2 linked regions of the Neodiprion lecontei genome follow. The protein of the gene in region 2 binds, or shares a complex with, the protein of the main gene of each other region. Links are inferred from orthologs where the notes say so. Each region holds a gene or a part of one and is shown on either strand. Other genes may lie near its edges.

The links.
Region 1: the proteins of translation initiation factor eIF-2B subunit epsilon (region 2) and translation initiation factor eIF-2B subunit gamma are in contact, whole or in part, in a cryo-EM structure (PDB 7VLK), measured with the Homo sapiens proteins. The link is inferred for Neodiprion lecontei from reciprocal best matches to the Homo sapiens genes EIF2B5 and EIF2B3. Residues at the interface, in NP_003898.2 of Homo sapiens: Pro190, Val202, Arg222, Arg223, Phe224, Ala225, Phe226, Pro227, Leu228, Phe231, Gln232, Ser234, Ser235, Asp236, Gly237, Val238, Glu239, Val240, Arg241, Tyr242, Asp243; in NP_065098.1 of Homo sapiens: Arg155, Phe157, Glu178, Glu179, Leu180, Val181, Ile182, Lys183, Gly184, Leu187, Gln188, Pro191, Arg192, Ile193, Arg194, Phe195, His196, Thr197, Gly198.

Annotation. Positions count from the first base shown.
Region 1 is NC_060263.1:38,050,573-38,054,507, reverse strand, and holds the start of translation initiation factor eIF-2B subunit gamma, read right to left. Parts: upstream 2,334-3,935; 5' UTR 2,047-2,333; intron 627-2,046; exon of another isoform or gene 559-626; intron 483-558; 5' UTR 397-482; intron 259-396; 5' UTR 228-258; coding exon 1-227. Other genes in the region: rapamycin-insensitive companion of mTOR, read left to right, coding at 3,114-3,168, 3,235-3,282, 3,721-3,877. UniProt on the Homo sapiens protein: Acts as a component of the translation initiation factor 2B (eIF2B) complex, which catalyzes the exchange of GDP for GTP on the eukaryotic initiation factor 2 (eIF2) complex gamma subunit.
Region 2 is NC_060261.1:15,633,360-15,637,294, reverse strand, and holds the start of translation initiation factor eIF-2B subunit epsilon, read right to left. Parts: upstream 2,252-3,935; 5' UTR 1,851-2,251; intron 1,765-1,850; 5' UTR 1,615-1,764; coding exon 919-1,614; intron 491-918; coding exon 1-490. Other genes in the region: actin-related protein 2/3 complex subunit 3, read left to right, coding at 2,935-2,940, 3,315-3,491, 3,582-3,777, 3,899-3,935. UniProt on the Homo sapiens protein: Acts as a component of the translation initiation factor 2B (eIF2B) complex, which catalyzes the exchange of GDP for GTP on eukaryotic initiation factor 2 (eIF2) gamma subunit.

The sequences.
Region 1 (3,935 bases), on a different chromosome or scaffold from region 2:
ATATTCAATTTGTCTATAGCTAACGCTATTTCATTTTTCCATTCTTCTTGTACCACAACAATGACTTCCATGAACCCGTTACGTGCTAAAAGTTTTAGGGGATAGTAGAGCATGGGATAGTTTCCAATAGGCAACAAGCACTTGGCTCGACTAGCTGTCAATTCTGTCATTCGGGATCCTTTGCCTGCAGCAAGGACTACAGCTTGAAATTCCATTTGGCGCCACATGTTGTGTCATGCGATTCCAGGTGCAAAGGGTCTGCAATGTATAGGGTTAGATAAATTTTAGTGTTGCCGAGAATTTTACTATAATTAGACAGTACTTCCTGACTTTTCTGTGTTACTTATTAGCTGGCACAAATATAAACACTTATGACACAACCATGTGAGATATTACCTATTACAATTTAATGTGGTCAAAGTAGCAGTTATATTAGCCACTTCATCTGTAGATTAATTTTCTTGGATGTTAATGGAATCAAGCTTAAGAATTCAAAGTTATACGTATCATAAATAACATTGTAGTAAAAGAAAATGTATATCAATTATAAGTACTAACAAAGAGCATCACTTTGGTGTCCTCCTCTGATTTTGTTGCCACTCATGTATGTTGTAGAATACTGAAAACTAAGAAATGTATTTTTTTTTTGAAGTGAAAAAACGTTTTGATCTAAATAAAATGTTACCAATTAAAATCAATTTAATTGCCAAAACCACTCTTGTTTGATCGCTATTACAAAATATTACATTTATATTATATTATATTCTTATGTTGCATTCTTATGATTAATATTACATATATTAACAATCATGGAATGAAAAAATTTTCAAAGGTTACGAGCTTTTAAAGCAGGTATATCAGAAAAATAATATATTATCTGACCACCCCATAGTTAATAATATTCTTATATTGCACCAACATCCTTATCATTTACCAACACATTCAATTTTAACATGTCTTGTATACCATACGATATGTGATTAAAGAATAGGAATCTCTGTTTTATTGTCTACGTGCGTGCGTAAAAACAAGACCCTTAACATGAAAATATTATAAAATAAATTAAATCATATGTATTGAATCCGACTACAAATATTTTGAACGGAAGAATGGATTTTTACATATCATTCATATAGACATAATGCTAATGAATTTGTTCATATGGATCGTTGTTTAAAAACAAGGAACTGACAGTGAATGAGCCCATTTAAAAATTATGCTCTTACCTAGCGTATAAAAAAAGCACGGAAATTTCTCTAACGTACAAATATAAGTATTGATACCCACCCTCACTTGAGGGGTAGTCTATCCTCTTTGCAGAGGTAGTTTTTAAGTATGCAAGAGTGCGCATACACAACGTTCGTGTTTTCAATCTAATGGCATCAGCCATATCAAAATAAATTGGCACATGTTTGATACCCTCCCACATGCCTAATGATTTTATAATGTGATGAAACTTCAACTATGAGCTGACAAATATATTTTGAATCAGCAGATACATTTTAAACAGATGGAAGATGGCATGTGAAGTAAGTTTATGCAGCGGGCAGTTTACTCCCTTGACTTTGCGTTTTTGAAAAACGCAAAAATACATGAACTTCCATTTTGTTTTTTCTATAAAATGGCATTGGTTTCATTCAATTAGGTCCACGATTTTTGAATGGCGAGTGCAAAAAAAATTGAGGGACGGTTCACCCCTCAACTTTATTTATTTTGTTTCAATATGTATGGTAGTCGTCACAATGATTAACATGAAAAACATTTTCAATTTCGGTTCATTGAAATCAGCCGATTGCTTGCGGGTGAAACTGTCAAATCGCCCCTTGAAATGCCTTACTTTGGAGGGTTATTTCACCCTTTTAAACCGTTTTTCCGCCGATAAATTAAATACACTTCTTTTAATTTTCAAGGTTCAACATCATACATGCGTTGCAACGAAATCAGAGGGGGAAACCAGAGTGATGTTCCTTCTAAGTACAAGTATCGATTCTAAGAATTGTGGATGTTCATACAATTTCTATTTCTATCATTTTCAGAAAAACTTACTAAATATGGAGAATTGATATTTTCTTGACAGACAGGTTAACTCATAACTATTATTGACATCACCGAACAATTACCATCTATTTATACTTTATTCTTCCGTGTGACGCTTCCCTGATCGGAAATATGGTGGAAATATGCCAATCCTGATGCCTCTGGTGCCAATGAATTAGTCCATCTGTCTTCGTTTGTTTATACCCGTGGCTGAGGCATTGAAGATAGGTGAAGCCAAGGTATTTTTGTGTAATATCACAGGTGGTATTATATAGTCACCATCTTTATCATTTGTAGGTTAGTAAACAATACTGGTAACGAATGTGTGCTTTCTTTGTAATTTTTGTACGCTACAGCCATATACATACATCGTTTGGGGTTCTTTTTATATCAATTATAGCACGTTTTTTATTTGTCATCACATATTATATCAAATACTTGTTCAACAATATTTTGCTTCACAAATTTCTACCCTATCGAACTGGATCTTCGACGTACGTTGATATGAATTGTTTTCGCTCACCACGTCAGGCATAAATTTGAACTTCACTAGCAATCACAAGCGAGATCGGCTGGCTGTGATTTGTATTTCGGCCTACTTTGGCAGAGAAAATCACAGGATCGAATTAAGTAACAGAAGTCCTACGTCAATATTGATTGTAATAAAAATTTCAGGAATTTTGGAGTCACTCGATTTAGAATAAATTGGTGCAACAGTGCCAATCTAGATAGTGCTGCACTCTGTGTGAAGTTTCCACAAAATACCCTTGTAGTTGCTTTTTACAATAACAGATCGCAGTGTAGCGAAAAGCTTCGATTGTTTTCCCATCTTACTCTGGCACCTATACGTGCCTATGTAGAATTTTTTTTTAGATTCTACACAATCGAAAGTACACTATGTCGAGTTCAACGTCCGTACGTGTGTCACTTGAATCAAATCACACTTGATTCATCAATAATTAAAGCCGTGATAGTACTTCGATGTTTTAAGAATGAAATATCCTTTGTTTAAAGATACTATTAAATGGACGAAAGTATTAAATGTCCCTGTGGATAGCGGCCGGCAGTGAATAGCAATGGCTAGTTGGATGATTCGTGGAAGGAGTTCACGGTCTAATAGATCTCATAAAAGTATGCTCATTTTTCACATATTTTGAATGAACTCATTATCGAAAACTAATTCATTTGTTGCCGCAGGTCATCTTGATGGCGAAGACAATTCCGTGCAACTGGATCTGTCAAAAGGTTAGTAACCTAGCCCTAACCTGTCAATCTTACTTTCGAATGTTATACAACAGTATGTCTAATAATCACAGCAATTAAAATACCAATAATAACAATAACAGTTGAATATCTCCAACAATAACAATTCCCCAGTGTCAAACTAATCTGGAAATTTATTTTCCAACTGTAACGTGAAAACCATAGCACTGGGCATCTCAAACTTACTTTCTTATCACATTCGTCTCGAATTTCTTTGCTTTTCAAAGTCAGATGTGAATATATTATGAACCCTTCAATGCCGGTACTAATTGAAAGTTTATATCCATACTCTTACTTATAGCAACAAGTAAATATCTGGAAAAAAGTAAAAATATCTTGCTCGTCACAGTTCTAAACACTAACTTTACCTCTCTTTCTATTATCACAAATGCCTCTTGATACGAATGATTTGTTTTGTAGATATAAAAGAAAATGTACAAGAGGTATTAACGAATCTATGTCAACGCCAAGGAATATCCAACGTAAGAAAATTAGCTTATCTAAATGCCATTGTGAAATTCATCAGCGAGAATGATCTTGTGGAATATGGGTACTGTAATAAGGAATTATTTTGTTGGTGAGATATTGATTTATGTTATTTGTACTTTATTATTAAATATATAGCATGAGGTATT
Region 2 (3,935 bases):
TCGGGCCCAAAATACAGCCGTCTATCTCAACTGAATTACCCAACTCACAGCCGGAGAATAAAACTGAATTTTTAACGATACAATCATCCCCAATTCTCACTTTACCCAGCAAGTAAGAATTTTCAAGTCTCACATTATTCCCCAAGTTACAGCCTTCTCCAATCACAGAACCTGTGATGCGTGTGTTTTCTCCCACATTACTGTTTGGACATACCACACAATCCCGTTCCAATGTACAGCCCTTCCCAAGAATCGAACTGTTGTGTTTATACGTACATCTACGTAGGTACAGAAAATACATACAACTTGGCATCATCTCAATGGTTAGGGGATATCCACGTTTTTGAAGTATGTCTCTGATTAAAGTATTGTAATCCCTCCAAGATGTGACTGGCAGCGCGTATTCTTCTGGATCTAATTTTTGCCAGTAAATTCGAGAGTCTAGAATTTCCTCGTTGATTAAGACTCCTCGGATAAAGTCTTCCATGGTCTGAAAATGATGTTGAAGACATTCAGTTGATAGTAAATTCATTCCAATGTTTAGAAGGGTGTTTAAAAATTTCAAAACAATTTAATAAACCACGATTAGGTGTTAATGACAATCATAGAATAGGATGTAAAAATATCATTGAGTAACATTTTGACGTTAGTATCATTGTAACGATGTATGTCGAGAAAAATCGTTACATTATATTTTCAACACTTGATTCCTGCAAAGTTATTCTGGAATTGCAACTTATTTACTTTTTCCTCAATGTTTCGTAACGTTGACATCGCTAACTTCAGCCTTGTTCAAAAACACAATCCAAACTGACAAGTCTATTGTATTTCTAAACCCATTCTATAATATCGTATTAGAAGCTTGCGTATCACATCAAACTTTTTCAGCAGAGTTATGTGATTCTGAAAAGAACTTACCTGAAAATCGAAATTGTCAGAAAACAAGGGAAGCACCGACGCTGAGCAAAGGTAAATATGAGTTTCCAGTAAACCGCTGTGTATTCGGACACAATCGTGATCCAAGAACAACTGTAATTCCAATTTGACTTTTCTGTCTTTCTCTGAGAGTTTTTGATGAAACAAAACTTTGTTATTCGAGTTATCAGCGGCAATTAGACAAGTTTTGTTTTCTTTCACCGGAAAATTGTTAGATCCTAAATCACGGAATATCAGCGTCATCGCAGCGCCTTTGTCTTGTTTTGACTTAAATCGATGCCAGTCGAGAAGCCTCTTTAGATTGGCATTGGTGAAAGCGTCGCCTCTGATCAGGATGAAGTCGCCGCGAATGATACCTTTGCTGTCGATGTCTCGGAGAGCATCGCCAAGCGAACGGCAGCCATCAGAGACGATTAAATGTACATTGATAAGACCCTTGTAATTTTGACTTTGTACGTACGATCTCAAAGATTCAACGTGGTTACTGCAGTACAAAAATAACTCCTGTATATCGTTCCTCACTAAAGTTTCTGTCAGGTATTCCAAAAGTGGAATATGAAAAACCGGCATCAACGCACTTGGGTAGAGCGTCTGCATGGGATGTAAATTTGTGGAGAAGTCATCTGCTAGAACAACAGCCTGTCGGACCTCTTCTTTCTTCAACTCCGTCGCTGCCATTTTATTAGATATTGTACAACCGGTGATTAACCCACAACTATCTTGTTAACGATTGTTAACCCTCGATCACCCTCAGTCCATCCACAACTGTCAGCATGGAATGCGTTTATACTTCTTCTAGTTCTTCTTTCTTTTGGCTATTTCCAAGTCCTAAAGATGGCGCCGATTATTCCAGGGACGTAAGATATCGTATTTGAACAAAGGTTATCGTATTATTGGATTATATTAAAACGTACCATTAATGATGCGTAGAATATTTTAAATGTCATTATCGTAACCGTATATCCCACGCAATACTCAATTTATATGCGATTTTATGATCTTCTCTCATGTCGGCCACCCGTATGGCGCGAAAACCTGCACAATTGGATTTTTTTAAAAATCAAAGTAGATCTAGTTTCCAATAAACTGTTGTTTATTATCATGAATATTAAAATTGCAACAAATATATGCTTATCGTAGATTATCTATCGTCCTCTGTGTCTTTTGATACGTCAATGTTTGAGTATATTTTCTTACGCATTTGCAATTTTAGTACACCACTTCATTAGCGTTGCCATAAGCACGGTCTTACATACAGGTCTTGAAACTCATCAAAAGTTGCGTGGTGGGGGAAATACGCTTACGGTGCATTTTTTGTTTTTCGACGCTGCCGCCAGTTCGCACCACTGATATATATATACACGCGTGGTGCCGTCACGCCAATTGAACGGTATCCATTTTGTACAGATTCTTGTCACTTCAGATATATATATATATATATATGTATACGTGATATAGGTATATCTTCAGTCAACGAACTCTGATTCGAATTTGATTCAAATGTAAAATAAATAATTGACGTGCTCCAACACATGTGGAAAACAATATTATTTGTAAACTTAGCATTGAAATCACGTAAACTACAATGCCGTATTCGTTTTTTACGAGATGCGTTGATAATTGTAGAACGTCAATTATTTTCTGGTCATTGCAATCAAATTTGAATTGGAGTTTCAGCTTTTTCCAAAGATTCGACTCGCGGCCACCAGCGGAGTGCTGCGGGCAGCTAAGCATATTTCTTTCAACGAACACCCTAATGCACATGTGTGATAGTCACGTGACTTTCAGCAAGATTGGTAGAGGCATTCTGCGCATGTGTGACTTTTACGGTTTTATACGTATTGCGACAGTATAACTCCACTACTGACATACATGATATAGCGATATCTGGCCAGACCCCACCAGATTATAGTTTGCCTGTAATAATTTCTCCACCCTTGCGGCGTTTAATTTCATGTTTAAGAAGATAATCAATCTACGAAAAAGTATCTGTCAAACATGCCTGTGAGTCTATCCTTTTCAATTTACTCAAATTAGTAATACAAGACTTATTTCTGTCTTGAAATTGTCGATTTGGTTTTCCGCATTCAGGAGCTGTCAAATGGGTGTATCCCTTTGATATCATGAATCATAACACGGGGTCACAATTTAACAGTGTCGTTGACCTTGATCCAATCGACCTACTAACGAGATGTTGATAGTCAAAGATCACTTCAGATTTACTCTTGAAGTAAATCACGGACTATAATTTTACCTAACCTAATTTAACTGTCAACATGCTATTACCGTGTCAATAAATTCTGACGTGTTTTGCTTTTCTACTATTGATAGACTTTCTCACTTTCACATTATCATACCAATTTTGCATAAAATTTCAGGCATATCATTCAAGTTTTTTAGAAAATAACCAAACGGTTGGCAACATGGCATTGCTACCGTTCAAAACCCAGTTTCGAGGACCAGCACCGTCATTCAGTAACAAAGAATTAGATATAATAGACGAAGCTTTGTATTTCTTTAAAGCAAATGTTTTCTTTCGAACCTACGAAATTAAGGTAATTTTTTAATTTGTATAGTTACATTAAGTAATGTATGTACTGTACACTTATATTACTACCACTTCTTCGCCCTTAAATATTCTACAGAGCGAAGCTGACCGAGTCTTAATTTACATCACTTTGTACATCACTGAATGCTTGAAGAAATTACAGAAATGTGCAAACAAAAATCAGGCAACCAATGAGATGTACACCTTGGCTATTTCCAAATTTGATATTCCAGGAGAAGCCGGTTTCCCATTAAACTCTGTTTATGCTAAGCCAAATACTGCGTCTGATGCTGGTAAGACCATTGAATAACAAAATCAAACACATTTTCCTAATTTTTTCACAAATTGCTACCATTACTTCAAGTGTAACACAAATATGAATTATATTCTAAATGTTGTAATGGTTTTTTTCAGATTTAATGAGGCAATATTTACAACAGTTGCGCCAGGA